Canis lupus familiaris: one gene and its partners. The protein of the gene in region 1 interacts with the protein of each later gene in a pairwise test. Links are inferred from orthologs where the notes say so. Each region holds a gene or a part of one and is shown in the gene's direction. Other genes may lie near its edges.

Region 1 (9,996 bases):
TTTTTTTATTTTTTGGGGGGGGGGAGCTTTTGATGGTTTTTGAGCATGCAGAGCATTTTGGTGGCATTTTAGAAGTAAACAGGCTTTGGTGAGGATTGTGGGCTCAAGCCTTGGGACCGTCCTTGCTCAGACACCAGCGGTGTGCTAGGGTGAGAGAGAAGAGAGCGTTGGCTTTGCCCACCGCTGTTTGTGAGCAGGGCTCTGGGTTCAGGATGCAGGCGGCAGCCCTCAGCGGTGGAGCTCCGCCTTCCGAGGGGGGCCGTGAAGGGTCACTCATTTTTATGTGGGGCATGCCATTTTTTTCCCTTTGACCAGCTCTGGGCAAGGAAAGAAAAGGAGTAGAGGCTGATGTTTTTCTTCTTCTTTTTATTTTTTCTAATGATGAAATGAAAAGATGGACTGAGCACTGGGAGGGATTGTGAAGACCACCGGAGGAGCTGGCCCCAGGACCCCCACGCCACCCTCACCAGGCTCGCCGGGCACCCTGTGCGGCCGGCACCTCCGTGGTGCTTTCTGAGAGCTCATAAAGCACTCACTGTTCAGAGAGTAGGCCTTCTCTGAGAATTTTGTCCAGCAGCCAAAGCCCTACAAGTTGTGATTGTTCCGAAAGGTCCGGGTGCCTGGTAGGAGTCAAGGAAAACTGCCGTCCTCGTATTTTGTTGGGCCCAACTTTGTGGAGAGCAGAGGTGGTTCATCTCGGAAGCCGGGCGTGAAAGTGAGATTCGCAAACTGTCTTGCAAAGAAGCCACAGTTTTTATGGACCACCTGTGTCAAATGCTGTGCTGGGTCCCTCTTGTGCCTTGGGTTAGCAGTCCTCGGCAGTGGAGCCAGGCTCCCTCTGCTGCAGGGCTGAAACCCCAAATGTTGTGCAAACAAGGTTTTCAGAAAGTTCTTTGGTCAGAAAAATTTGACTTGTACTGATTTAGAACCTTTACTTTTCCACCTAGAGTTTCAGTGACTTTTAGCTGGGTGGTTTGGCCATGTCTGGGGACACCTGTGGTTGTTACCCCTGGTGGGGGGACCCTTCTGGCTTGGAAAGGGTGTGGCCAGGGGTGCTACTGACCCACCACAGAGAGTGACCTGCCCCTAATGTCAGAAGGGCGCAGGGGGACACAGCCTACGTTGATTATTTGGAAAAACATTGAGTCTGACCCCTGCTCATGCTGGACACCAGAGTTTAAACCCCCAGGGGTCAGAGGATACAAACCAGGCGACTGCAGCATCTGTGAGTCGCCCCCACTCGGAGTGTGTAGTTAAGTGTGTGCGGCATCCCGGGACCTCAGGGGTCAGATGGTCACAGAGAGCAGTCTCCCGGGGGTCGGGAACCCCCTGACCGAGGTGGTCCCACCTGGGGGACATTCTGCTCCCTGCCTCAGGGCACACTGGACAAAGACCAGGGTTGCTGTTAGCACTCTGCACTGCACAGGACAGCTCCACCCCCGCCCCTCACACACACAGAGCAAGGAATGATCCAGGCCCTGATGGCGATGGAGCCAAGGCAGAGAAAAATCTAAAGTAGGTCATGAATCCTTGTAACAGCTGGTAAGGACACCCCTGTTACCCCGTTTTAGAGAAGAGGAAAGTGAGAGTATTGGCTGGGACTCTTAGAAGGGACGGAGAGCTCAGGCCTGGGGGAAGGGGCGTGGAACAGGCCTCAGGCAGAAATGGCTGGACCTGAGAGTCTCTCCAGGCCCTCGTCCTCCAGCCTGTCATCCTTGTGCCCGCCCCGGGCAGGCCCTGGGGGGCTCTGACTCCTTGGCTGTGAGTCACAGGGAGGGGCCGGGGCGGCAGAGAGGAGCCGCCAGGGTGGCAGGCAGTGCGGGGGAAGCTCAGGAAGCTCAGGAAGCGGGCAGTGAGGGAGTGATCAGGCCAGAGTGCTTCGATCCCGCGGGGCGGGGGACCCTCGGGGGGGGGGGGGGGACCCTCGGTGCAGAGGCCTTGAGGCTCCAAGGGCTGGGGGCGTGGGAGGGCAGAAAGGAGTGTGCCTTGGTCTTCTAGTTTTTTAAACCCTTGCCTCAGCAGTCTCCGTCACGCTCCCCCGCTCCCACCTTCACCACCTTCACCACCCGGACCAGGAGGGCAGGAAACTTCTGCCAAAGACGAGACTCCTTTCTCGGTCCGCTCTTCTGCGAGCGCCCCTCACCACCAGGCCCTGCAGTAGCTCCCCTCGTCCCACGCACCCGTACGTGTGCGCATGGCCCAGCGTGGGGGACCCACGGGAGGGGAAGGCCCGGAGCACACAGGCGGGGCTCCGGCTGTGCCACCTGTCGGGCCCTGTGACCCCCGCCAAGACCCTGAACACCTCCGTCTGGTTTGTACCGCGGTGCTTTCGGGCTGGGGAGTTGGCGGACGTGAGGGCTAGGTGGTGAACGCGTGGGTTTGTGGGGGCCGAGATCGGGGGTATCGTGTGAGCACTTAACGTGACTTAAGAATGTGAGATTCAGGGGGTGCCCTGGGTGGCTCAGCGGTTGAGCGTCTACCTTTGGCTCAGGGCGTGATCCGGGAGTCGGGGATCAAGTCCCGCATAGGGCTCCTGCGGGGGGCCTGTTTCTCCCTCTGCCTGTGTCTCTGCTTCTCTCCCTTTGCGTATCTCATGAATAAATAAGTAAAATATTTTTTAAAAAATCGAGATTCAGTCTCCGCAGGCAGCTGCCCAGACGTGACCCTCAAGGCCTGACTTAGAGCACAACATACAGGGTCCCGGGATTGTACATCTGACAGGAAGCACTTGGGCTCTGGGAAAAAGAAATAACTTTCTAATTGTAATAAAATACACGTAACGTAATGTACCATCTTAACCACCTCTAAGCGCACAGCTCAGGGCACGGAGCACACTCAACCCCGCTGTGCACCACCCCCACCACCGTCTCCAGAACCTTCCATCTCCCTACACGGAGACCCTGTCCCCAGGAAGCACTGACCCCTGCCCCACCCCTGGCTCCCACCACCTCCTCTCTGTGGACGGGCCTCCTCTGGGGACCTCCTGGGAGTAGGGTCCTGCAGGAGGTGTCCTTCTGGGTCTGGGTCCCCTCCCAGCACGGTGTCCTCGGGGTCCCTTCCTTCCTGGGGCTGGGTTGTGTCCCGGGTGTGGACGGGCTGCCCTGTGCTAACCCATGCGTGTGTTGACAGACACTGAGTTGTGTCTACTTTTCAGCTCTTGGAGATGATGTCGCTGCCAAAACAAACATCTAAAATGAAAACAGCTTGACGTTTCAGCGCGTGTCTGGTCTCCTTGGGTTTGGCGGTCAGCAGGCCGACTGGTGTGCTCTTGTACCCCCTCAGCTGGGGAGCAGGACTCACTTTTGGTGCTGTGCTTCCCCCAAAATGAGTGGGTTGTGATGGTTGATCTCTGTGGGCCCCCCGGTAGCCCCCAGGGACCTCTGGTCTGGGACCGCCTATTGTCATCTAGGCTCCGGCTCCACCTAATCACAGACCTTCCAGCTGTAGGCGGCTTTCTGGCCAAAGACGCATGTGTCCAGAAATGGGGAGCTCATTACCATCTTCAAGGAGCTTTAATTCCTCCCCCTGCTTACGGAACATGGGTTTGTTTTTTTTTTTTTAAGTTTTTCCTTTATAATTGAGGTATAAATCGTTTACCTTAAAGTATGGTGGTTTTTGGTATATTTACGCTTCTCTGAGTCCAGAACATTCCATCACCCCAAAAAGAAACTGTCTCCATAGCCTTCACCCCCATCCCCCCCGGCCCCCACGAGCCCCCTCCCCGTCCTGGACGTGTCACACACGTGGGCTCACACCCCGTGGGGCCTCCTGTGTCTGGTTCCTCCACTTGAAGAAGCAGCTGTCAAGGGACACAGATTCCCACGAAGCAGAGACCGAGCAGACGCGCCCAGTGGAGGCACCGTCTCGGTGTGGCGCTGGCCTGCGTGGGGAGCCTGGGGCCACATGACGGGCTCTCCCCGGCTTTGTTGAACCATCGTGGCTGGTAACAAGCTAACAAGAGTGCCAGCAGGAGCCCCGCTCCTTGTTTTCTGTGGGGGCACGGGCTGCTCACCCCCCTGCAGGCGTTTTGGGGAGACCGAGGTGCTGACTGCTGTGGGTTCCTTGGGCCGGCCGCTCCTCACAGGCCACGGTCCCCAACCTGTTGCTTTTGTCGGTGGGAGCGACCAGGGAGGTCGTGGTGTGGAGGGGATGACACAGTGTTGCGTGACGTGCCTGACCCATCATAGACCCTTAGGTAGCAGAACCCTCTTGCCCAGAATGTTCCAGACCAGGGCTCTCCCCTGGGCATGGCTGACACTGGAACTGATAGTTTTCCATTATGTGGGCGTCCTGGGAGCCGGGGGCTGAGCAACATCCCAGGTCCTCGTGGCCCAATGCCAGGAGCACCCCCATCGTGGTGACCACGGATGTCCCCAGACATGGCCCAGAGTCCCTGAGGCAGGGTCACTCCCGGCCTGGGAGTCCAGCACTTGGAGAGGGACCAAGAGCTGGCCTTCAGGCGGCCTGGAAGGGGCTCCGTGCCCCTGCACCTTTCGGGCTACTCTGGGCCCCTCCCCTCCCAGCTGTTTACCCCTCACTTACTCTTCAGATAGAGCTGGCCAGGCGAGGCGTCTGGGGGCTCAGGATGTGAAGTGTCTGCCTTTGGCTCGGGTCACCTGGGTCATGACCCCAGAGTCGGGGCGGGGGGGACGTCGGCTGCAGCCCCCTGCTTGTGCTCTTGTGCCCTCGTGTGTTTATGCTCTTTCTCTGTCAAATAAATAAAATCTTTAGAAAAGACCTGCCCAGGGCACTTAAAGTGGCTTCCTTGGGCCTGGGGCTCGTGCAGGCCTGGTGAGCCAGCACCCGGAGGTCCGGGGAGCCTGGAGCAGCAGGTGCCACCCGTGCCCTCGGTCTGTGCTCCTCACGGCCCTGGCTTGGCTCCACAGATCTTGAAAACCCCAGGGCATTGTCTCTTCCTGTTTGAAGATGGATAACAAGAAGCGTCTGGCCTACGCCATCATCCGGTTCCTGCACGACCAGCTCCGGCACGGGGGGCTCTCGTCCGACGCCCAGGAGAGCTTGGAAGGTACGTGTGGGCCCGCTGTCCTCCCTGCTTCCCGCCACACAGCCAGCCCCGTCACCTCAGGCCCAGCTTCCTGCAGGAGTTCTGGTGAGCTCCCCATATTTCATCAAGGTGTGGTTCCAGAACATTCTCCACCGTAGTCACACTGATCAGAGAAGAAAGGCTCATTTTAAAGAAAGGGTGGAATGGCCACAGCGCCTGGGAGCCGCACAGGGCTGGGGGACAGGATCCCAGGCTGGACCGGCACTTGAGTGGCCTCTGCCCGGACCCCGCCACCAGCCCCTTGGCGTCCACCTGGCTCGGCCTACAGTGACACAGTGGGAGTTGGCGGTTCGGCACCTGCCATGTGCCAGGCCTTTGACCTGGGTCTCACAGAGAGGGGACTCCCCAGAGCCCCAGAGTCTGGGCTGCATTCAGAAGAACATGCTTCTGTCCACCTCACAGTTGCAATCCAGTGCCTGGAGACTGCTTTTGGGGTGACAGTGGAAGACCATGACCTCGCCCTCCCTCAGACTCTGCCGGAAATATTTGAAGCAGCTGCTGCAGGCAAGGTGAGTTTCTGGGCTTCACAGGATAGGCGTAACAGCAGGAGTCGCCAGGGCCCCCAAGCACCCATGCAAGACCTGAGTTCTCCCCCAGGCTGCTTCCCGGCTGTGGACCAGGGAAGTGGGGGCCCGGCCCCGGCCTGAGGTGCTCTCCACAGTGCCTAGCTGCCCTCGGGTGGCCCCTGAGCAGGAGGGAGGCCGCGGGTGTGGGCTTTTTGGAGGAGGAGACGGTAGGGTTGCCCTCTGCCTGCAAACGACTTGTCTGCCTTGGGACAGGAGGTGCCGCAGGACCTGAGGAGCCCCGAGCGGACCCCGCCTTCAGAGGAGGACTCAGCCGAGGCAGAGCGCCTCAAAACCGAAGGTGAGCTGAGACTGCATCCCCACCAGGCACCTGACCCACCTGGCCTGCGGGGCGGCAGGGCCGGGGGGGCCCTGGGGTGCAGCTGTGGGAGGGGAGCCGGGCCCCTAAGCACGCAGCGCCAGCATGTGGGAGGATAAGCCCCGCGCTCGGCCCGCGGGGATGTATGCGGGGCAGCCGCCAGGGAAGGCATTCCCCGCAGCTCCCCGGTGGCCACACGGCGGGCACGTGGCCCAGCCAGTCCCCTCCCACACCCAGGACAAGTGCAGGCGTGTGTCCACAGCACCCAAAAGGTAGAACGGCCCAAATGTCCATAAACTGGTAAAGGGTGAACAAAACGTGATGTATCCATGTTCTGGAATGTCCCTTAGCCCACATGTACCACCCCAGGGACGGACCCTGAGCCCACGACGCTCAGGGAGGGAACCAGATACAGGAGGCCCCACAGGGTGTGAGTCCATGTGTGTGACACAGCCAGGACGGGCTCGCCCACGCACAGGGGAGGGGGCTCAGGGGCCAGGGGAGGGTGAGGAGTGACTGCTCATGGGGAGGGACTTTTTTGCGGGGGGAATGGAACGTTCTGGAATTAGGTTGTGGCGTTGGACACTTGTGAATTTCTAAAAGCCGCTGAGTCATTCACTTTGAAAACGTGAGTTTTACATTCAGATTACATTTCGTGAAAATTGGTTTCTTGTGAAAGAAGGAGCAAAGAGACTTATGTTTCCAAATGTCACGACCAAAGCAGTGACGGTCATCACCCAGTGCCGGCTCAGGCCAGAACCCAGATCCTCCTCCACACCCCAGCACCCCTGAGTGTTGCATCCTGGCCCCCCGGACCCTCCTCCCCAACGTCTTGCACCTTCAGGGAGAAGCCCGGGAGAGCTGGGCTGGACGTCTCGGCCCCTGGGATGTGACGTGAACAGCTGGGCATACGTTGTTTTTTCTTTCCCTTTAGGAAACGAGCAGATGAAGGTAGAAAACTTTGAAGCTGCCGTGCACTTCTATGGGAAAGCCATCGAGCTGAACCCGGCCAACGCCGTCTACTTCTGTAACAGGTAGCGGCTGGGCGCGCTCGGGGAGGTGTTGACACTGTAATCATTCATCCAGCGCCCAGATAAGCAGCCAGCAGCCTGTGGCCAGCAAGGCGTCAACAGGAGCTGATCGTGGCATTAAAATCAAAGTTAGGGACACCATTCTGCACAGGTGTTGGGTGAGGACGCAAGCCAAACCACGGGTGACCATATCGCGCCTGCGCTCACGGTGGCATTACTGCTGGCCATGGGGAGCCCCGTGTGGCTGGTGCTTTAAGGGAAAGTTGCCTCAGCCTCCCAGAGCCTCCCAGTACGGACCGCCGAGCTGACGACAGGGCCTGAGAGGGAGGTGGGACAAGGGTCGCCCTCCAGGGCACAAGCCAGGGCCCCGGCGTTGGATAGCCCAGGTCGGGTGCGCAGAGCTGCTCTTGTCTTAGTTTCTTTCCTCTGACTCTGGGGCGAAACACAAACACACTGACAGAAAAGTTGCACGCGTAGCACAGAGAACGCCGTCCACCCTCCACTCGCACAGCGCCCAGCGCTGAGTACTGCTCAGCCCTGCTGCCTTTCTGGGGGAAACGTAAAGTGGGATGTTAAAAACTGAAAGAGAAACCATCTGGCGTGGTAAGCTGAGTGCTGGGACGGGTCTCCCTGTGAATCCGAGTCCCTGTCTGATGGCAGGTGTTCCCTGGGGGTGCCTGGGCCGCTCAGGCAGTGTGGTGTCTGCCTTTGGCTCAGGGCGTGATCCCAGGGCCCTGGGATCAAGTCCAACGTTGGGCTCCTGGCTTAGCAGGGAGTCTGCTGCTTCCTCTCCCTCCCCTCCCCCTGCTCCTTCTCTTTGTCTCTCAAATCTTAAAAAAAAAAAGTAATAGATGTTCCCTAACGTAAAGCAAGCACCGGCTCCCAACGGTGGGGAGACCCTGGGTGCCGAGCCCGTTGACTTGGGTTCAGACTGGTCTCGTCACACCTGGGTGCTCTGCAGCGTCATCAGGACGAGCTGCCTCCATCTCCCCAGGAGGCTATCCCAGCTCCCACCACGGGTACTTGGCGGACAGAAGCCCTGGGCAGCCCAGTGTCCCGCCGCCCACCTGCCAGATGGGGAGACTGAGGCTCCTCCATGGCAGCGAGTGAGGGCCGCAGCTTTGCCCACCCTGCTTTGTGTCCCCAGAGCTGCGGCCTACAGCAAGCTCGGGAACTACACGGGTGCCGTTCAGGACTGCGAGCGAGCCATCTGCATAGACCCGTCCTACAGCAAAGCCTACGGCAGGATGGGGTGAGTGTCGCGAGGGGCCACACGGTCCCTGCCTTCCTGGTCCCCCCTCCCCTGCAGACAGCCCATGCCCCTTTCCTATTTGGGCTGCTTTCCACACGCCCAGCTCCGTCACCAGCTGACCTCCAGCAGTTCCCTTCCGTCTAGATGGACGGTCAGGACTTGGCCCCACGCGGATGCCAGTCATAAAGCTGGGCCTCCCCCGCGCCCCCCAACTGCTCTGAATCAGGGTTCCCACTTCCCTGTGTCTTGTGCTTCCGTGATGTGCTGGAGCAGCTCACGGCCTCAGGGCAGGGTCCAGGAAGGTCCTCGGCGCAGATCCCTGTCTCCCTAGAGTGGGGTGTGATGCTGTCACCAAAGGGGACGTCCACATGTCATCGTTCAGGAGTCTTACAGCCCGCTCTCCAGCCTTCTCCCCTCCCAGAGGTTTGGGGTTGCCAGGTCCCCACTCAAATCCCAGCCTTGGTCTTCCTGGCCACCAGCCCCATCCTGAGTCACCTCACGGACAGGAACTCGGGTGTAATCAAAGGGGCTCATTATAGAAACCACAGGAGGGATCCCTGGGTGGCGCAGCGGTTTGGCACCTGCCTTTGGCCCAGGGCGCGATCCTGGAGACCCGGGATCGAATCCCACGTCAGGCTCCCGGTGCATGGAGCCTGCTTCTCCCTCTGCCTATGTCTCTGCCTCTCTCTCTCTCTCTGTGTGTGACTATCATAAATAAATAAAAAAAAAATAAACTAGAGGTATTAAATTTAAAAAAAAAAAAATTTAGAAACCACAGGAGACCTCTGTGACTTAGGAAGTTTTGCGTCTTAGGAGCTCTGTGCCGAGAACAGGGCCAGCGTGTCTGACCCCCTGCCCTCTGCCTCTGAGCCCTTCCTCTGGGCCTTCCAGCCCATCCTCTCAGCCCCCGCCACCCTGGCGTGCCGTCCCTGGCAGACGCTAGGCCCGGTGGCGCTGGAGCAGTTGGGGCGTGGCGGGTGGGCAGCCCCCGGGCCCTCTCCCATGTCCTGGTGTCTCCCCCCAGCCTTGCTCTCTCCAGTTTGAACAAGCACACCGAGGCCGTGGCATACTACAAGAAGGCCTTGGAGCTGGATCCTGAGAACGAGACTTACAAGTCAAACCTCAAGATAGCCGAGCTGAAGCTGAGAGAGACGCCGAGTCCCGTGAGCGGCCCGGGAGGGAGCAGGGGAGCGTGGGCCGGCGCCTTTGTTGTGGTGTCTGTGGGGAGGGGCGGGTGAGGCCGGGGATGTGGGGTTAGGACAGGCCAGGCGAGCAGTCTCTGCAGAGTCTGGGGCACGGGGTCCGACTGGCTGTCGAGTACCTGGCTCTGGGCGGTCAGGGCAGAGGGCGGCGGCTGTGAGCATGAGATGCTGATGGAGGAAGGCTGGGTGTGTGGGCTGTGGACTCACTGGCCTGCGTGCTAAAGGTGGACTGGTGGTGTCCGGCGTTGGTCACCCCTGAGGCCCTCCAGGGGCCCAAGGCATCAGAGCGTTACAAAATACTTCTCCTAAGGGATCAACGGGGTGGCCTGGGCCTTTGGCAAACACTAGCCGCAAGGCCTGGCCGCTCAGTTGGGAGGGCGTCTGGGCCGTATGCGTCTTGGGACTCCAGCCGGCCCCCTGTGGGATCTTCTGGGGCCCAGTGTCATGGTCCTGTGGCCACTCACCAGGGCTCTTCTCATCCCCACAGACGGGAGGCGTCGGCAGCTTTGACATCGCCGGCCTGCTCAACAACCCCAGCTTCATGAGCATGGTAACCTGCGCTCC
Region 2 (10,151 bases), on another chromosome or scaffold:
GCCCCACGCCCACTCTCTCAGCTGTTCTGAAAATAGTGACATGATTACCTGTTATTTACTTTGTGTGAGGAGCTTTTGGCAAGAAAGCTTCCCAACTCAAGACTCCTAGAGGGAGAACTCTGTGATCATAAAAATGGATATCATTTATGTGGCGGGTGTTGTGCAAAGTACCATACTCTCAACACACGTGGCTCCCAAGCTACTAAAGAGAAACTGAGATGCAGAGAGGTAAAATGTCTTGTCTCGGGTCGAGGGTTATAGCCCCCAGATCTCTCTGACCCTGAAGCCTGTGCCCTTAATCTCCAACATAAGAGAGAAAGGGATGTTTGTCCAAGGGGAGGGACTGATGGAGTGACAGCGATCTCAGGAGAAGGAGAGAGGAAAGCTAGAAAGAAAAGGTGAGAGGGTTTTGAGAAGCCTTCCAGGAGCGGAGGCATTTGATCTGGGCCATTACAGAAAGGATTAGTTGTAGTTTCTTGGGTTAGGTGTCTCTGGATGCGCCAGGTGTACACCCAGACTTGATTACCTTTGGCCTCGGAGGCCTGAGAAAAGGGACGGGGCAGCTTTACCCCAGTTATAAGCCAGATCTCAGCTCCTTTTTGAGCTGCCTGCTGACTCTCTGAATCACTTTTCTGTGCTCGAAAGGAAGCTGGCAGGAGGATCTGTGCGTGGCCCATGCCATCTTCCAGACTCCCTCTATCTCAGGGGCAAAACCAAGGAAGGGCCAGAATGTAGGGGGCATGGACTCAGTACCCAGAACTTCACTTTATTTCATCTTCCTAATTACCCCAAGAGGTAGGTCTTTTATCCCCCCACTGAGGAGCAAAGTGATCTTTAAACTTTCCTCTCACTGGTGAGTGCCAGAAAAGAGGATTTTAATCAAGAATTTCTGGCCCCAATACCTGGGTGGGTTTTGTTTGCTTGCTTGGTTTTTGTTTTGTTTTGTTGTATTTTACTTCAGTCTCATGTAGGGGAATTGAGGACTTCAATTCAGTTCACCTTTGATTACAGCATTTTGTTTTGTAGGAGTCACAGAAGAACCCATTAAGACGTTTTAAAAGGCCTCAGAGTCTGTTCAAATAGTTTTTAACCTCTTGGGGATCAGGAAGAGAGAATCTGAGGTTTCTTGCCCCAGAAATTTGCATAGAGATACATAGGATATGGAAGTAATGATCATCCATGTTTCCCCTTGTCCCCAGTTCAAGAAGAACAGGGAAAAACCCTACAAATCTACAAATAACCACATTCAAACGTGTTTCATGCCTTCGGAGAGATTCTCAGAACACAGAGAAGGGGAAATTAATTCCTTCATTTCAGGAGCTTGGGATAGCTTTATCTATAAGATAGCTTTTTTATAGAAAGCTCTCTTATAGAAGAGCTTCTGGTGTCTAACCTGGTAGTATTTAATCTTTTTGTCAGTCTGCTTTCCAAATGATCATTGAACAACTATGTATTTCTGGCACTTTTTTTAGTTGACTGCTAATCCTTTTTCATAAAGAGTTTAAATAGTTGCAAAGGTTGCAATTTCTGATGTATTATAAATTCATACACTCAAAAATAGATGTTTATAGCATTCTTTTCATTATATACAGTTGAATTAAATACCTACAATTTGATACCTACAACCATCCATTTAAAAAATACATGAATGGGGGTGCCTGGCTGGCTTGGTGGGTAGAGCATGCAACCCTTGATCTCTGGGTCCTGAGTCTGAGCCCCATTTTGGGTGTAGAGATTACTAAAATCAATCAATCAATCAATCAATCATGAATAGGCTCTTCTCTAATGGAAATTTCACATCATTCTTTTTTCTATTCAAACTCAAATTTCCACTCCATGTTTCAGCACATAAACATTTTACCATAATTTTTTTTTTCACCCCTCTAGCATAGGGAGCTTGAACTCATGATCCTGAGATTAAAAGTTGAATGCTCTACAGACTGAGCCAGCCAGGCACCTAACCAATAATATTATTCTTAAATGCTTAAATAGCTTATTGATAGCACTATCATACTTTTCTGCCTAAAAAAATTACATAAATTGAATCATTATTTTACCTTCCACGACCTTACGACTAGGTATTCAAATTCTCTATCATTACAATTATCATGAAAACACAATCTTTTTAAAAAGATTTTATTTATTCATGAGAGACACAGAGAGAGAGGCAGAGACACAGGCTGAGGAAGGAGAAGCAGGCTCCATGCAAGGAGCCCAATGTGGGACTGGATCCCAGGAAGCAGGGATCACGCCCTGAGGCGAAGGCAAACGCCCAACCACTGAGCCACCCAGGTATCCCCATAAAAACACAATTGATCAAAGCAGTTTAAATATATTACAGTTTTTTGAAGTCCTAAAAGCATTTTTAATGGTGTTTTGGAGATAAAACTGAAATAAAATGAACTACATATATTTAAAGTGTGCAATTTGACATATGTATACACTGGTGAAACCAGTTCTACAAATTTTGATAAATAATTATTAAACAAAAAAAGTAAAACTGAGTAATGTTTCCTTCTCCATTCGTCCACATGGCTCTGGAGGGATATTGCTTGTGCAAGAATGAGACAGACTTTAGCAATAATTTTATTTCTACTTTTAATTTTTATAGCTGTCAAGCAGTGGGTGCCAGAGTCAGATTGTACTGGTTCAATTGTTGTGGGTGATTTAGGCACCCACAGAGGCTAGGCACTTTAGGGAACATGGCCATTACTAAAAATTAAATTATATAAACTTATAATTAAATAAACTATATTAGAAACAAAGGAAACACTTTGTACTCAAGACTCATGACTTCCTAGTTATTTCATTAGATCTTATTGTTATCCATGGTCTTGATATTATTTGCGCCTATTATTTTGCACTATGTGTGGTAGAAATACTGCTCATCTCTAACCAACTCTGTGTTCAATGACATCACACTGGGAATTTGAAATCAGGTGGGAGTATTTATACCACAGAAATTGACAAATGGTACAAATTAGCACTTCCTGCTTCCCCCAACCTATTGTTAAACATTTATCAGCACACCACTGGCTGTAAGAAGTTGGTGGGAATAAAAGGAGTTTTGTTATAGCGATGTGTTGACAGATAACCAAAAACGCATAGTGACCTATCATCAAAAATTATTTTAATGATCTATGTACTAACAACTATATTAGGCCCTCCTGGGACTGTGTGGAAAGCAAAGATTGCAAAAACCATCTGACTTGCGAAAGAATATCTTACTGACGTGAAATCCACTCATTTTCTCAGTATATTTCTCAATCCGAGGGAAGGGTATGGCGAAAAAAATTGGGGAAAAAATTGCTTACCTTTAAATCCCTGGGGAAAAATAGGATCCACATTTGAAGCTTGCTTTACAGTCAAGGATCTCTCCAGCGTGAGGTTTTCCATCCTTTTGCTAATAATTGAGGGAAGAGGAGAAATCACTCCCAACTCTCTACTCTGCAAAGTATATGAATTCAGTTTGCCGACAGAGGCCAAAATACCCTGGTTATGAAGCCGTACCTCTGCCTTAGAAGGATACACACAGAAATCAATCAGGGTGAGAAACCAGTCTAGTCACCTTTGGTACTTTGATTAATTTTGATATGATGCTTCCTCCTAGTAATTCTAACAGTATCTGTACCTGGAGACCCCCAGAGGATTTCCACCTCCAACCCTTCCCTACAGCTTGGGGGGGGGGGGGTGTAGTGGTAAGGCCAACTCAACTTTCTTTTACAAAGGGTGGGAGCAGATCTGGGATAGACTCGCAGACTAGTTCTGAGAGACGGAACTTTTTCTGAAGTTCAAAACCTGGAAAAAGAAATCCCTTAAAACAGAGGTCAGCCATCGTAAGACCAAAAAGTCTACCCTGATGGGGGTACCCTTGGTTTTTGTTCAGCCTGCTGCTAAAAAATGGCTTGCACATTTTTAAATAGGGAGAAAATCAAAACAAGGATATTTCGTGACACCTAAAAATTATACGAAATACAAATTTCAGTGTTCCATAAATAGTGTTTCATTAGAACACAGCCGCGTTCTTTCTTTTTTAAGTATTTGTGGCTGCTTTCGAGCTACGAAGCTGGAGTTTAAGTATGACAAGACACCGAATGGCCCGCAAAGATTGAACTATTTAGCTCTTTACAGGGAAAGTTTGCTGACCCCTCAAGCCTATGCACGTTCACGTCCCATTTGGAATGTGTTCCGTACCCTGGGGGGGGGGGGGGGGAGTGTAGCGGGTTTGGGGAGCGCCGGCCTCCAGGGAAGACCCTGGGCGAGTCCGTGGCCTCAGTTTCCCCAGGTATAAAACGAGGTTAGACGCAGGGATCTCCGGGGGCCTGCCTGGGAGGACATCAAAAGAGTAAATGGGACAGGGACTCGGGGTGGATCTGGAGCGGGCGGCTGCGCGCCAGGCGGGTCCCTCGGGGTTTCCAGCCGCGTGGGCGGCCGGAGCGCCCCGAGGCCCAGCTTTCGCCGGGGAATTCCGGGCGGGGTGCGGCGGCGGGGCGGGGCGGGGCCGGGGCGGGGCCGGTCACCGCCTATAAGAGGGGCCGCACGCCCGCCGGGGCCACTCGCCTGCGCGCCCTCTGCGGACCGCGGTACCATGGCCTCCGCCCGCCTGCTCGCGCTGCTGCTGCTGCTGGTCGTGGGCACCCCCGCCGCCACCGCGGAGTCGGTAGGTGCCGGGGCATCCGGGGGGGGACGGGGGCGGCCCGCTGCCTCCTTTGTTCCTGGGGGCCTGAGATGGGGGGGGGCGCTCAGGGGGCCGCGCCGCCTCCAACTAGACGCCGGGGCTGGGGAAACTTTGCTGGAAACTTGGCTCCGGGGTGACGGGGAGGCTCCGGGCCGGGGCGGCTCCCCCGCGCGAACGTGCGCCCCAGCCTGTTGCTCTTCCCGCCTCCCCTGGCCTCGGCCCCGCCGCGCGCTCCAGGCTCGGACGTGACTAAGCCGGTGTCACCTCTTCTCCCCCCACACTGGCGCCCTTCCCTGGTGACCCCGGGGCAGGCTCTGAGTCGCGGACCCCCCTGCTCGCCGTCCGTGAGCGCCCGCAGCGGCTGCTCTAGAATCCGACTGGGCCTGGGGACGAGGGGGCTGGCGTGTGCTCGGAAGGGGGAGGGGGACGCTTGTGCGGGGCCTGTATCACACACCCGGGAGTGAGGAGCTGAGCCCTGACCACAGGTCCGGCCCCAGCACTACCCCTGGCTGGTGACAGGGCAAGGCCCTGCCCCCCTTCTGAGTGTCAGTTTCCCTATCTGCCCAGGGGCTGGGCGAGCGCAGCAGGAGATGACCAGTGCTTCTTTAGGGTCCCTCCAAAGTTGAGACTCTGATCCTTCTAGGGCGGACGGGGAGGGGTGGTCTGGGCCCAGCGTTTCACCAAGAGTTGAACCTCTGCTTTCTGCGAGAATTCTGTTTATTTCTGCTGAACTGCGCTCGCTCGCTCGGGAAATCGGAGTACCCACCTGGAGTGGAGTAAAGGGGGTTGGGGGAGGGAAGGCTACAGTGAGCACCGAGAAGCTCTTCTCACTCGCCCGCTGGTCTCTGTCCTAGTTTACAAAGCCCTAGGCCACCAGAAGCTCCATTCATCCCAGCGACCATCAGGGGAAGAGGGTGGCTTCCCCATCTGGGAAGTTGGGGGAGCAGGAATTGATGGGAGAGGCTATCTGTCCCCCCAAGAACCCCAGCCCTGTGCCCCCTTCATGCCTTAAGCCCACCTCCCCTTTTAGAGGAAGTCTGTGGAGTTTTATCATTGTGGATTCCTCATGGGGCTCCTTTTTCTCTGCGCTTGCTTGGAGGAAAGTCCTTTCTGCCTGGCTGGCTTCTGTTGAGGAATGCATGAGACCCTGAGAATAACCTGCCAGCACAATTGAAGGCAAGCAGTGATGATAGCAAACATTATGGTGTGCCTTATGGTGTTCTGATAGCTTTCTTTTTTTTTTTTTTTTTTAAAGATTTTATTTATTTATTCATAGAGACACAGCTAGAGAGAGAGAGGCAGAGACACAGGCAGAGGGAGAAGCAGGCTCCATGCACCGGGAGCCCGATGTGGGATTCGATCCCGGGTCTCCAGGATCGCGCCCTGGGCCAAAGGCAGGCGCCAAACCGCTGCGCCACCCAGGGATCCCTCTGATAGCTTTCTAACGGCTGTTCTAACTAATGGCCTATCAACTAGATTTAATTCTGACAGCCCGGCTGTTTACCTTAAATTGGTCCTGAGGTTGAGGAGGTTAGCTAATTTATCCAAGGCCACACAGCTTAATATGGGGCTGAGGCATTCAAATTTAGCCAGCCAGGCTCCCAAGTTCCTGCTCTTATGATAAGCTGTGGTCTGATGCTTTCTGAGGGGCTGCCCTTGTGTCCCATCCTCAGGTAACTCAAGAGTTTAGAATCTGTTGAGATTTGGGGCTGGCCAGCCTCAAGAAATTCTGAGGTAGAAGGAAACGGGCCCAGGGTGAGGTGACGACTTCCCCAAACTATGGGCAACCTTATGGAAAAGTTAATGTCTGAGCCAGGACTCCAGCTCACACCCGCTGCTCCCTGGTGCAGTGCTCTAAACTAGACCCTGAGAGATGTGTTGGAGTCAAGCAGCTGGGGAGACATCCAAAGGAATGCATGTTGGCTCCTGTGGGTAGCGTGGGGGGAAATAGAAAGCCCCAGGAGGTTAGGAGATCACTGCATGGGAGTCACATGGCAGTCCCGGGTGAGGGGCTGCTGAGTCTGCAGGTGCTTCAGGGTGAGGAGCAGACAGCTGTGTCCTGGGGGCAGTCGGAAGGATATGGTTTGGGGGAGGGCAGCTGTGTCAGCCCTACACATGGTGACCCATCATCAGCTAGGGAGAAGCTGGCCCTTGAGCAGCTGCTTCCGGAGAGAGGTATTGGTCTCCCTCATCCTGACCTCAGCACTCCCCTTCCTGAGGTATGTCACAGACCTTCCACCTCGAATTGGGTTACAGGGCTTCCCCTTTTGCCTCCCCTGTCCCCTTACTGCCAGGATTGTGGCCGGAAAAATCAGGCCTAGTCATAGTTGGGTAGATTTTTACAGGTGGAGGAAACAGGCCCACTGGAGAAGGGATTAGCTAATGGCAGTTATGATTTGTGGGGTGCTTTCCACATGCCGGGTCCGGTGCCCGGTCTGGTGCGTCTTATCCTCACAGAAAGCCCAGCATGTGGGGATTATATCATACCCACTTTCCGGATGAAGGATCTGAGGGTCCCCCTCCAGTAGTGCTAGTGAGGCCCTTCCCAAGTTTTGGGTGTAAGCCAAAGGCCTGCCTTCCCCTTGGGTGGTATCCTATCCCCACCACGAGGGCTTGGTGAAGTTTTGGGAAGGGAACCCAGTCTGAGCAACCAGTCTCTTCCCTGGCAGGGCTTGCTATCCCAAACCAGTTCTTCCTGTCTACCTGACTGCCTTCCTGCCACTCCTTCCCTAGCCAATTAAAGACAGCCTTGTTTTGGGAGCTGGACCCCCCCAGAAGTGTTGCCGCCCAGGGGCACAGCCTCCTGATGTGGCACCAGGCCCCGTGGGTTCTGGGGAGGTGTACTTTAGCTTAGAGAGGTTTCTGGTCTCCTTGAGAATTCTTTCCTTGAATGCACTGAGGTTGGATAGGGCAGGAGCATAGGGGGTCTGGGACCCCATGAGTGGCCAGTGAGAGCTCTTTGGAATTCTTAGAAGCCACAGAGAACCACCACGGAAGATATTTGGGGCCGTGGTTTAGAGGGTTCTGTGGGGTTGACATTACCCCATCTGTAAAATGCGGTTTGAAACAAATGACCTTGAGAGCCCTTCTCGGCTCAAGTATTCTATGAATAAATACCTATTCTTTGGAAGAGATTGTAGAAACCCCCGACATCTAAGGCATTGCCTCCCTTGAAGAGACTTAGTTTGTGAGAGAATTAGTAAATATATCCCACCAAAATCTGAGTCGTATGCCCACTCCCCATCCCCCAACCCGACCACACATACCACTTCCACCCACACACATCCCCTGGGGCAGGGGAGGGGGGAATTTCTGCTCTATTCATCTTCAGTGAAATACTTGTTCCTCAGTTAGTCCTCAGGAAATGTTTGTACGAATGAATAAACTCGCATGTAGCTTCATTCTAAAAGGTGCGTTGAGATTATTATCACTAATCTGAACGTCTTCCAGGGATACCGTGAAGTAGATTTTATTTTCTACGTGTTTATTTTTTAAAGATTTTATTTATTTATTCCTGAGAGACCTAGAGAGAGGCAGAGACATAGAGGCAGAGGCAGAAGGAGAAGCAGGCTCCTCGCAGGGAGCCTGATGCTGACTTGATTATCAATCCCAGAATCCTGGGATCACACCCTGAGCCCAAGGCAGGTGCTCAACCGCTGAGCCACCCAGGCGTCCCTATTATCTACATTTTTACAGGAAACTGATGCTCAGGGGAAGATAGTGGCTTGCCAAGGTCAGGACTAGGTCTCTCTGATAATACAAGGTGTCTGGTTTGAGCACCCTGAGAGGACATTCCAGATGAGGAAATCGGCTGGTTTTGAAGGCAGATACTTTGAGTTCTGCTTTTGACCTGCAGGGTGACCTTGAGTAAATGTACCCTATCTCTGGGTCTCAGTGTCCCCAACTCTATAATAAGCCCACCTTGAACTAAACCCCTCCGTGGATCCTGCCTGCCCTGAAAACACATCAATGGCGGGGAGGGGAGCTTTCTTGGCCCCTTTGGTAAAGATTCTAAACAAGAGGACAAGTTGGGGGGTGGGGTACAGGGAGGTGGAGACATTCAGCTCCTGCCATCCCCAGCTCCTGGAAACAGAGGGCATTTCCAAGGACTTGGAGTGCTGGGCCGTCTTGAATGAGGAGCTGGGAGAGCCAGGCTGGGCTTCCCGCCCCAGTTCCCTCTAGGGAGGAATTGGCTTCTAGTTGTTCTCAGCCTCCTGGATTGGTGGGTGTGATTTCCAAATGACCATTGAAAATTGGGGGAAGGGGCTGGACAGGGCCTGTGAGTCACTGGAGGAGAGCCGTGGCTGGCCTGAGTCACCCATTTCCTTTCAACCTCTTGGCCCGAAGGATGATTCTGGTGGGGGTGTTGGAATGGGCTCTATAGAGTTTTACCATGTCCTCTGAGACCCTATTAGAGATAGTATCTCAGCGTCCTGGACCTTGAGGGGGTGTACAGGGAATGCCAGCACTAGACGCCAGACCTTCTCAGTGCCTTGTCTGTGGGTGGGCTTTGACAGGGTGCGAATTCAGCCAGTCTTCAGAATTGGTCTTTGGGCCTGGGCAGAGCAGGTGTTGCTTTGTTTCCCTTAAAGCAGAACTGAAGCTGCCCCTGCTCTGAGCCCCCAGAGTCAAGCTGGTACAGTCCAGATATGGTTGAACCCCAGGAGTCTCTGATTTTTCTGATGCCCTCTCCTTGCTTCCTGGAACTGGCTGGAGAGCAGTGGAACATTGGTTTGGGACTTAGGCAGACCTAACTTGCAGAGGTGTGAAGTCTACCTCTAACTAGCTACATGGCTGTGGGCATGTCACCCAGCCCCCCAGCCTCTGCTTCCTGGGCATTGTGGGGAGGCTGGGAGGAGGTGACAAGCCTGCAGTAAAGTTCCCAGTGTGTGCCTGGGAGGAAGGCTGCATTCTTAGTGATAGTGATGCCAGCTGGTTCTGTACCATTGAAGATCCTACTCCGAGTCCCCCTGGAACACTCTCTTCCCTCCCCCCAACAGCTGCAAGGTGGAAAGGGAGGAGTCCAGGGTGGGGCGGATGGAGTTCAAATCTACTGTTTGTTTGTTTTAGAAGTGGACTGTTTGCTAATTATCAGATGGGTTTATATTTAAACAAGAACCAGTTCTCGGCAGCCCCACCCCTCCTGCTGGGATCTGTAGGAACCCCTTGCTGGGCAGCTTGTGTCCTGGAGGGTGATGGGGGGCTTGCTAAGGGTATTGTACCACCTGGACACCACACAGAACAGGGTCGCCCTCCTGCGTTGGAGGACAGAGTTTCTAGTCCTACGGAGGCTGAGTGAATTGCAAGCAGCTCTCTGGCCTTGGAGAGGGGGTGTGATGGTGGACAGGAAGGTACACAGTGTCTGAAAAGCCAGTTTTCAGTGTAAAGCACCCACAGAGGGAGGGGAAGGCCTGTGTCAACAGTTGGGGCCTGATTTAACCCTAGAAGTACTGGAAGCCTGACTTCTTGGGCT
Region 3 (10,045 bases), on another chromosome or scaffold:
ACCGAGACTGGAAAAGATCCCAATGGGGACACAGGCAAGGGTTTATCCAGGATGTGTGATGCATTGTGTCCCCGGAGTGAGCATGTGTCTAGAGGGTGTGTTTGGCTTACCCTTGTGTTTTCTGTAAACGTGTTTCTGAGTGGAGTACATGTCTCCCTGTACAGATGTGTGTGCTTTACACATACATACACACACACACACACACACACACACACAATGCAAATCAGCTGATATAGAATAAGTTCGATCTGGAATGAATAAAGGTCTCTAGCATTTTATTTCCACAAGGACAAGCTAATTGCTCTCATTAGAACATAATACAGATGTTTGTTTCCATTCTAAATTCATGGCTGGTGTTTAAATAGAAAAATGTGTCCCTGCCTGGAGAAGCTACACCAATGACAGTCCTCTAGTGATCATAGCCAGGGTAATAAATCGCAATCAAGTCTCCAGGCTTTGGGCTGTCTTGGATAAACAGACCAGGGGATAAAGAACAAGGAAGATATATAGACTAAGCCGCAACTTCCCCAAACGGGCTCTGGTATTCCTGGGGTGAACACAGGCAGGGCCAATGGCATAGTTTAAGAGGAGACTGGAGCCCAGGGAAATGCCCTCTGAGAGATGCAGAGTAGAAGGGTTTGCCCAGGTATATGTGTGTGTACCGTGTGTGTACTCAGTTGACTATGCGTGCGGGGGAGGTCTGCTCTCTTTCCGTGCATAGGCGTGGGCAAGCACGTTCAATGAGTCAGAGCATTAGGCATAACCCAGCAGAATTAAGAATTAGCTATTTCCCCTTCCTTCTTTTCAGACTGACCCTCAGGGCCCTAACATGGTCCCCCTGCTCACTGTGTCCCTGGCCACATGACAAGGATTTCCTTCCTCAGATTCCTCTCCAGTCTCAGGACACTCATCACTAGGAGCTGACACTCTGAAAGATTAATGGTACCAGAAAAAGCCTCTCTTCCTCATCCATTAGGTAACTGCAAATCCCAGAACATATTTGGCAGTGGGGAAACGGGTACAGGTTGGAGGGAACCCTGAATTCCCAGAGGAAAATCCTGACGATGGGGTGTATTACACTGTTCCAGAGAGGAGTGATCAATGTTCTCCTCAAGATATTTTTGGCTCCAAGATACAAGATTAAATGAAAAGTTCCTTAAAGGACCCAATTTTGCTTTCTACATACCATTATCTATTAAAGGAATCAGGCTCCTTAGAAAAATAACTGATTTCCAGCATAAGGGACAGGAAAGTAGAAACTGAATGTGGATTATTTTGCTCTGCCAGAATGTAAATGTTATAGGTTGAATCTGTCCCCACAGAATTCATGTGTTGTAGCCCAACCTCTAGCACCGCACAATATATTTGGAGATAGGGTATTTAAGGGGTAATTAAATTAAAATGAGATCATATGTGTGAGTCCTAACCCAACTGGTGTCCTTATAAGAAGAGATTAGGACATAGACACACACAGAGGGGAGATCATATGAAGACTCGGGAAGAAAGCAGCCACCTACAAGCCAAGGGCAGAAGCCTCAGAAGAAACAGACCCTGCTGGCACCTGGACTTGAACCTCTCGCCCCCAGAATCATGAGAAAATAAAATATTCTTACTTAAGCCAGCTAGTCTGTGTTATTTGCCGCGGCAGGCCTAGCAAACTCTATGTTCAAAATATATCAAGAATCAAATCACTTCTTGCTACTTGGTTGTCCGAAATACAACCAGCTGCTCTTGGTTGCTCCCACTTGTACTCCAAAGCCATTCTCAATACAGGAATTAGAGGTAGTCTAGGAATCAGCACAAGTCATGTCACTGTCATGCTCCACCCGCCAGTGGATTCCACTTAATTCAGAACAAAAATCAACACCCTACGCCATGTAGATAGGGCTCGGGTTACCCTTGGCTGTTTTCTCCTGCGACTCAATTCCCAGATCCAGAAACCTTGGCAGACATGTGCAGCCACAGGGCCTTTGCAATGGCTGCTCCGTTCACTTCCTGCCTCCTTGAGTGCGTTGCTCAAAAGTCACTTGTCCAGTGAAGCTGTTCCTTCCTACATAGGAGACCTAAAATTAAAATTGCACCTCCCATCATCTCTATCCCCTTTCTATTCTCCATTTTTCTCAGCATTTGACCATCTAACATAATATCTACCTTATGATACTTCTGTCCATCTCTCCAACAAGAAAGTATGATCCACAGTGGCATAGATTTTTATCAGTGTTGTTCACTGATGGATGTCTGACTTCCTACTGCAGTGCTTGGCACGTGGTAGGACCTCAGTGGGTACCTGGTGGCTACAGGTTTAAGATGAGGTTGCACCATGTGCTGAGCATCGCACGAGTAAGTTATCTCAGTGTTAGACTTCAAGATGACCGCTTGCCCTTGCTCCCTGAGAGAGCAGCCCCAACCTCAACGACCAGCACCACCTCCCTTTTCCCCCAGATGCCTTCCCTCACCTACTCTCCAGTTGTCATGGGAGGTTATGTTCTGATGTCTTACCACCTCGAATGGGAAAGGCCCTAGCAGTATCCATGGCAAAATGAGGTATATATGTGCTTCTCAACTAAGGAGAAAGGGCCTGGGATTGAAAGAAGACATACATGTCACAGGAAGATAAAAAAGTAAATGTTGGGGCACCTGGGTGGCTCAGTGGTTGAGCATCTGCTTTTAGCTCAGGGCGTGATCCCGGGATCCTAGGATCGAATGCCCCCTTGGGGTGTCCACAGGGAGCCTGCCTCTCCCTCTGCCTATGTCTCTGCCTTTGTGTGTGTGTGTGTGTGTGTGTGTGTGTGTGTGTGTGTGTCTCATAAATGAATATATAAAATCTTAAAAGAAAAAAAAAGAAAGAAAAGAAAAAGTAAATATCTGGTAAACAAATTTCCTGGACTACCTAGTGACAGTGGTACATAAAGGACTTTGATCCCACAGACCTTAACTGGGTTCCTCCCTATTTACCATAACTAGTTCATAATACAGTGTGGTTATGTAGGTGGTAGTTATCTTCCTAGAGCAGAACTCCTAATCAATTCTTTTAGGCATTTGTGAGAGAAGTAAAGAACCAAGGGAGACGGCCTCCAGGGGCTGTAAAGCTCTAGTAGGACTAGCTCCATCTTGATTTAATTTTGCCCTGAATATTTCTCCCTCCCTTGTCATTCCACAGTAGACCTGTTTGAACGCTGTAAGCCTGTTGGGGAACTAGCTGACCTTATAGGTTTTGTTTTTTTTAAATTTTTAAATTTCATTTTTAAAAAAGATTTTATTTATTTATTCATGAGAAGAGACACAGAGAAACATAGGCAGAGGGAGCAGCAGTCTCCCTGTGTGGTGCCCTGTGCAGGACTCGATCCCAGGACCCAAGGATCACGACCTGAGCCAAAGGCAGGCACTCAACCACTGAGCCACCCAGGTGGCCCTGTCCTTAGGTTTCATAGGAATCCTCAATTAAGGCAGAACACATTGCACAAACAAACTAATGATCATATTCTTGCACATCACCCCATAAGCACATGATAAGCTAGTAATCAATTCTGCTTAAAATTTCTCAGGAGGGCAGCCCCAGTGGCTCAGCGGTTTAGTGCCACCTTCAGTCCAGAGCGTAATCCTAAAGATCCGGGATCGAGTCCCATGTCGGGCTCCCTGCATGGAGCCTGCTCCTCCCTCTCCTTGGCGTCTCTGGCTGTCTGTGTGTGTGTGTGTGTGTGTCTCTCATTAATAAATAAAATCTTTAAAAAAAAATCTCTCAGGAAACTTGAAGAACCTGACGCTCGATCACTGAAGACATGTGGTGGATTACTCTAGCCCTCGTGGCACTGTAGCTGGTTTCTTTTTTCATTCCTGTTCCCCTTTAAAAGCCCTTCCTGCAGGGAGATGGGACAGTGGTGTTTTAGGACATGAGTCCACCGTCTTCTCAGTGAGCGGGCTTTCTCGAATAAAATCGCTTTCCTTGTCCCAACTCTTTGTCTCCCTCATCATATTGGCCTGTCGTGCAACGAGCGGGTGGGACCCAGGTTCAATCACAAGCCACAGCAATTCTATGTTTTGAGGTAGGTAATCACAGACCTTCCATTTAGAGTGACTGTTCAGTCTCCCTTTAAAAACTGTTTCTCGGGATCCCTGGGTGGCTCATCGGTTTAGTGCCTGCTTTTGGGCCAGGGCGTGATCCTGGAGTCCTGGAATCGGGTCCCACGTCGGGCTCCCTGCATGGAGCCTGCTTCTCCCTCTGCCTGTGTCTCTGCCTCTCTCTCTGTCTCTCATGAGTAAATAAATAAAAAATCTTTAAAAACAAACAAACAAACAAAACTGTTTCTGTGGTGCCTGGGTGGCTCAGTTGGTTAAGCATCTGAGTGTTGGCCTCAGATCAGGTCTTGGTCTCAGGATCCTGAGTTTGAGCCTGGTGCTGGGCTCCACCCTGGGCCTAATGCTTACTTTACTAAGAAAAGTAGCTTTACATAGCATCGAAAAGGAAAGTGAAAGCAAAACTTTCAACTTCAATAAAAGTTGGTGCACAAGCAGCACACAGCAGACAGCACCATGACTGAGGTAAGTGTCCCTGACTTTCTACCTAGGGCTCTCCAGGGGTGGGGGGGCCCCTTCCTATAAAGGCCTCAGTCTGGGTTCCTGGCCTTGGGCACAGTTAACTCCAAAGTTTGGAAAAGCTTCAGAAGGAGGTTCTGGAAGACTCTTTGTAGTTTAAAAGTCCCTCTTTAAAAGCCCCTGCTGGGCTGTGAGGGCTTTGGGTCCAGGGAGCCTCCTCGCTCCATCTGGCTCAGCCGGGGCCCAAGGGCCTCCGGGGGTAGGAGCTGTGGTGGCAGGGGGCTCTGTCTCCTGAGCTGGGAAGCATCTGGGGCGTGGGTGAAGGGCGGGGGGTCCCAGGACTTGGGAGGTGAGTGGATCCCCGCTGGGCCTGGCTCCCTGGCTCCAGATGGACTTCGGCGCCTGCTCAGCTCTGTCCTCCTCTCCCTCTTGCTCCATGGCACTTGGCCTGCCCTGTGAAGTCGGCTTGAATTTCAGCTTTCTGACGCGGACTCCCTTCCTGACCTCTATGGTGTCCAGATTCCCACACAGCCCAGGCAGGCCTAGGCAGGGCTCGGTGGCGGGCGTACAGCTGAAGGGGAACAAGTAGAATTCAGGCAATTCAGGGCAATGAGATCATTCCAGAAGGAGCGGCCTTTGTTGCCTGGGCAACCATCTCCTTATCCAGGCACGGCCCAAGTTCACATTGGATCTGCTGGCAGCTCCTATGCGCGTGGTGTCTGGGCTTGACCTTATCACAGGTGGAATCCAGAGTGCAAAACCCCCTTTTGATTCCAGCGTGGAGGCCACCCTTGGACCAGCCGTGCCCTGGCTGAGAGAGGGGAGGCCCTGGCCCTGGGTCCCAGCCCTGCTGGTCCTCCAGCCTCTCTTCCATGGAGATTCCCTTGGCCCCCATTCTAGGCCAGGCCCTCACTGGTTCCCAGAGAGGAAGGAGGCAAGGGGCACCACACAGGATCCCGCCCCACTGGAGCTCCAAACCCAGAAGAGGTGCAGGCAGGCAGGGAAAGTCCCGGCACAACATGATCTGTGCAGAGGGGGTGGCTGCCCCAGGACCTGGGGACCCAGAGAGGGCAGCTGAGCCAGGCGGGCCTGATGGCAGCTTCTCAGAGAGGACTTTCTGGTGTGGATGAGAAGAGGAAGGGAGCGGGTGGGGAAGGGGACTGGGGGCAGAGACAGCCAGGTGTGCAGGGGAGCAGAGGCAGGAGCCAGCTGTGTGGTGAGAAGGGCAAGCCTGGCAGCCTGTGGAGCAGAGGGCAGGGAGGGTGAGGAGGGCCTGTGAGTGGCCCACAGAGCAGGCCCCATGCCCTGAGGCCAGATGTGCTCTGTGGGAAAGCCACGGTGGGTCCTGGGGAGACCAGATGTGGGGGAGAAGGGACAGGAGGCCAGGATAGGAGTGGGGCCTATGGTCAAGAGGCCTTAGGGTCAGGACACCTTGCTGGCTAAGTCAGAAAAACATGTGACCCTTGATCTCAGGGTCATGAGTTCAAGCCTCACATTGGGTATGGAGATTACTAGAATAAAGTAAAAAAAAAAAAAAAAAAAAAACACAGGAAAAAGAGGGTGAGGGTCTCAGAGACAGGGTTGGGGGCTGCCCTGAAACGAATCACAGTGTGAGAGATGTTTGAGGAGGAGAATTAAGGAGAAACTCCTGGATTCTACATTGGTGGATGGATATTGGCACAAAGAAGAGGGCCGGGGTACACAGGCCCCAGGTCTCCCATGAGGTGGCCTGCAATCAGAGATAGAGGGTTGTGGGCTGAGAGCTGGCTCAGAAAGGGAAGAAATTGAAACATTCTCAAAGCAGAAGCCATGGCAGCCTGGGGGGGAGGGCACAAGCCCTCCATGTGCGTGCTGTGACCGTCCCCATGGGTCCAGATGCTAGCTGGCCCCACAGAGTCTCAGGTTTCCTTAGGATGCTGTCAGCTCCTGCCTCTCAGGTTGCCATCTCCGAGGGTGGGTGTCTTGAGGCTGGCGGGGACAGAGTCCAGGGAGGAACAGGTGCCTGTGTGGCCATGGACAACCAGGGCCAAGAGGTGGGATGAGGACCTGAATGTCAGTCTGAGAAGAGGAGAGAAGGTGGTGACTCCCCTGCCCGACTGCTGACGATGGGTTCGGGGCTCCCAATCTCAGTGAAGGGGTTTTCATGCAGGGAGTCACGTCAACACTCTCAGGAGCAGCCGTGCAATGAACCTGAACGTGCACATTCACATCCTCCTCGGTGTGCCTATGAGTATCCACAACACGCACACACACACACACACAGACACACACACACACAATATGCAACACACACAGATATGCATGTAATCAGAACACAACACACATAGAACACACATGCACAACACGTACATATATATTCATGTGTGCTACTGCACTGCAGCCCATACCACATGTACACAAGCACATACATACATGATAATGTGGGCACACTGAACAAATCCCCACTCTCCTATTCCACAAGGTCCTTTTATCCAGACTTCAGCCCCCAGTTTGGGGAAGCTCTAAAAGTGACAGAAGGCTGAGGACCTCACAGAGGCCAGGAGTTCCCTCCCACTCCAGGCTCTCATCAGGTGATGAACATCAGCAAGGGGGTCCCCAGGCCAAGCTGCAGGGTCCCAGGAGGGCTCTCAACTGTTACCTAGAGGCTTCCTACACCATCTTGGGTTTTTCTGTTGCAGTTTCATCAAGAACCCAGGCCTGGAGACCTGATTGAGATTTTCCGCATTGGCTATGAGCACTGGGCCATCTATGTGGGAGGCGGTTATGTGATCCATCTGACTCCCCCAAGTAAGAGCTGTTGGAAATATAATTTTTCAAAATATTTGTTACCAGATTGAGAATAATTGGAGGAAAGAGCTGAGCAAGGGAAACCAGAGTTGGTTTCTCCCTGAGCAATGCTTGAGCAGATCCTATATCCATATCCCACTGCGTAATTGAGTGGGATCCCATAGATCCAGGGGCAGGGAAGTCAAACAGAATGCCCATTCCACGGACAGGAAGGGAATGAGAAGCCTTTGATTGCTGGGATCCAGCTCATGGGTCACTGGAGGTCACATCTTCAAGATGAAACCCCCAACACCCATATTTTGATTACCCAAATGGACATAATATGTACCTCGAAAGTTAAAAGGTGATGAAGTAATACATGGAAAGTAGCAGTGTGTGAAACACAGTCAATAGTAAAATAAATTTGTTCTCTTCGCGAAATGTATAAGCGCACAAAAATGAACAAATAGTAAATGTTTGACTATCACTGGTCATAATGGCAAAAATTTTAAAGACCTAAGTGTTCAATAATAGGGCTTGGTCAAATAAACGATCTATATTCATGTGACGAAATTACAATGACATTGCCATAAGCAATCATGACATTCACTGACTTGAAAAAGTATTCACAGCTTGTTAAATAAAGATCTAGGAATCCTCCAATCACCTATGTGAAAAGACAAACAGTGACACTCCAGCAGTGTCCTCCTTGCTCCTCTTTTTCATCCTGCCTCTCTTCTCTCCCTGTCTCACCTTCCCCTGCAACCCACCCCCATGACCATGACCATATCTCTGACTCCAGGTGAGTACCCTGGGGCCGGCTCCAGCAGCGTCTTCTCTGTGCTGAGCAACAGAGCCGTGGTGAGACGGGACCGCCTGCAGGATGTGGTGGGGAACTGCCGCTATAGGGTCAACAATCACTTGGACCACAAATACACACCAAGGCCTGTGAATGAGATCATCTACTCTGCAAAGCAGAAGATTGGTCAGGAGATGCCATACAGTCTTCTGAGCAGAAACTGTGAGCATTTTGTCACCAACCTGAGATATGGTGAACCCCACAGCAGGCAGGTAAGGCCCTCTGAGGTGATCCCTCTCCCTCCTGAATGTCTCCTGGGGTGTCTAAGCTGGGCAGCGAAAGGGGAGAATCATTATGACCCACATGCTGGAATCAAGATGTCTGAGCTCAAATCTTCAATCAGATTTTGATCCACTGGGGGTCGTTGGACAGGTCACTCCCTCCCTGGGCCTCAGTTTCCCCACGTGTAGGAGGAGGAGTTGAATGGAGGACCTCGGGAGGCCTGCCAGTCTGACCTTCTAGGATCCTGCAGCTTGAATACCCACCCTAAAGGCAGCTCCTAATGCTCCCAAAGCGTGTTGGGAAAAGTCAGGGCCAAGCCAACCGCATAACAGGTCTCCTAAGGCCCCAGAGAGCCCTCAGCCAAGGGATGCTCAAGGTCATGAGCCTGTGTAAGAGCTCAAGGATATATTTATGGAAGATCTGGGGCTCAGCTCCACTCCCACCTCTTCAGTCTTCCATGTGTTGTCCCCAAAATGCACAGCTAGTTATTGGCAGAGGCAGGATTCCAACCCCAGCTGTCCTTCTCTAGAGTCTGCTCCTTACCGCTGTACAGCAGCAGGCCTAATAATTTAAAGTATCGCATCACTACTGCTCCTAGTTGGGCCATTTATTTAAGAACTCATAAAGAGCACCTCTGTGCTTGGCAGAGCTGGGTGCGGGGGATGCAGTGAGGAACAAGACAAGTGACACAGGTGAGGTCCTTGCTCTTCCCGGAGTCACAGTAGTGACCTAGTTTGGGAGCAGTTCCTGGGCCACCTCACACTTGCTTCAAGGGCTCCCCAATGGCCAGACAGGATGTCAGCCATCCGGGCTTCATCTCCTCGTCCATTCCACTACTATCCCCAGGGACTTGTGTTCTTTAAATACTTGCAGGGCTCCAGGCCCAGGTGATTGGGTGGACAGAGGCTTCTGGATGAGATGAGGGTGAGGATGGGAGGACCAGGCTTGCGGAGGGAAACCAAGAATTTGGAGGTAGTTGGTGATGGGTGGCCTTTAGACCTCCAGGTGACGATGGTGAGTAGCAGTTGGACCTAGGAGTCTGGAGTTGAGAGAGGAGCTGGGGCTGGAGGTAGACGTTTCCATGCTGCAGTTCACAGTGCATAATGAAGTCAAAGTATGCTCCCTTGGCCATGGTGTCCAGAGGTCTCTCCTCAGCTTCTGCCAATCCCCCTCCCTCCCTGGGGGTGTAGCCTAGACAGCAGAGCAGTTCCCAGGTTCAGGAGAGAGCTCTGTTCTCCTAGGAAACCAAGCACAAACCCTCTTCCTTCCCCAGTCTGAGTCAGGAACTAATGAGGTCACCCAGCAAACTCACACAAAAGGATCCCATCAGCCCAGACAAGCCCACCACTAAGAGGTCTTCACCACTAAGAGAATATAGGTCTCCCTGGAAATGGGGCCACGAGGACTCAGCAAGTATCTTCCCTGGGAGAGAACTCTGGGCTGGCAGCTCAGGGGGAAGGAGAATCGGGTGTGGCCTCCAGGCCCTTGGAAGAGAGGGAGAATCTGCCTGTACTTGCTGTGTGTGTGAATGCTGACCGTGGGTTACTCACTTTCAGGTGACAAATGTCCTGATTGGAGGAGGGGCAACCCTGGGAATTGGCTTCATTGCTGTTCTTGGATACTCTCTTTTAAAGCGGCGATCCCAAAACCAGTGACAGCCTGAAG

What was found.
Region 2: the proteins of SGTA (region 1) and SDC4 interact in binary tests that used the Homo sapiens proteins (3 or more experiments, as listed by UniProt). The two-hybrid records come from large-scale screens. The link is inferred for Canis lupus familiaris from reciprocal best matches to the Homo sapiens genes SGTA and SDC4.
Region 3: the proteins of SGTA (region 1) and PLAAT4 interact in binary tests that used the Homo sapiens proteins (3 or more experiments, as listed by UniProt). The two-hybrid records come from large-scale screens. The link is inferred for Canis lupus familiaris from reciprocal best matches to the Homo sapiens genes SGTA and PLAAT4.

What each region holds. Positions count from the first base shown.
Region 1 is NC_049241.1:56,908,560-56,918,555, forward strand, and holds the start of SGTA (small glutamine-rich tetratricopeptide repeat-containing protein alpha), read left to right. Parts: upstream 1-4,926; coding exon 4,927-5,026; intron 5,027-5,467; coding exon 5,468-5,574; intron 5,575-5,844; coding exon 5,845-5,929; intron 5,930-6,881; coding exon 6,882-6,981; intron 6,982-8,125; coding exon 8,126-8,230; intron 8,231-9,254; coding exon 9,255-9,393; intron 9,394-9,919; coding exon 9,920-9,982; intron 9,983-9,996. UniProt on the Homo sapiens protein: Co-chaperone that binds misfolded and hydrophobic patches-containing client proteins in the cytosol. Mediates their targeting to the endoplasmic reticulum but also regulates their sorting to the proteasome when targeting fails.
Region 2 is NC_049245.1:33,274,634-33,284,784, reverse strand, and holds the start of SDC4 (syndecan-4), read left to right. Parts: upstream 1-4,526; 5' UTR 4,527-4,588; coding exon 4,589-4,660; intron 4,661-10,151. UniProt on the Homo sapiens protein: Cell surface proteoglycan which regulates exosome biogenesis in concert with SDCBP and PDCD6IP.
Region 3 is NC_049239.1:53,928,020-53,938,064, reverse strand, and holds the start of PLAAT4 (phospholipase A and acyltransferase 4), read left to right. Parts: upstream 1-4,420; 5' UTR 4,421-4,530; coding exon 4,531-4,539; intron 4,540-7,211; coding exon 7,212-7,320; intron 7,321-8,101; coding exon 8,102-8,370; intron 8,371-9,936; coding exon 9,937-10,035; 3' UTR 10,036-10,045. UniProt on the Homo sapiens protein: Exhibits both phospholipase A1/2 and acyltransferase activities. Shows phospholipase A1 (PLA1) and A2 (PLA2), catalyzing the calcium-independent release of fatty acids from the sn-1 or sn-2 position of glycerophospholipids.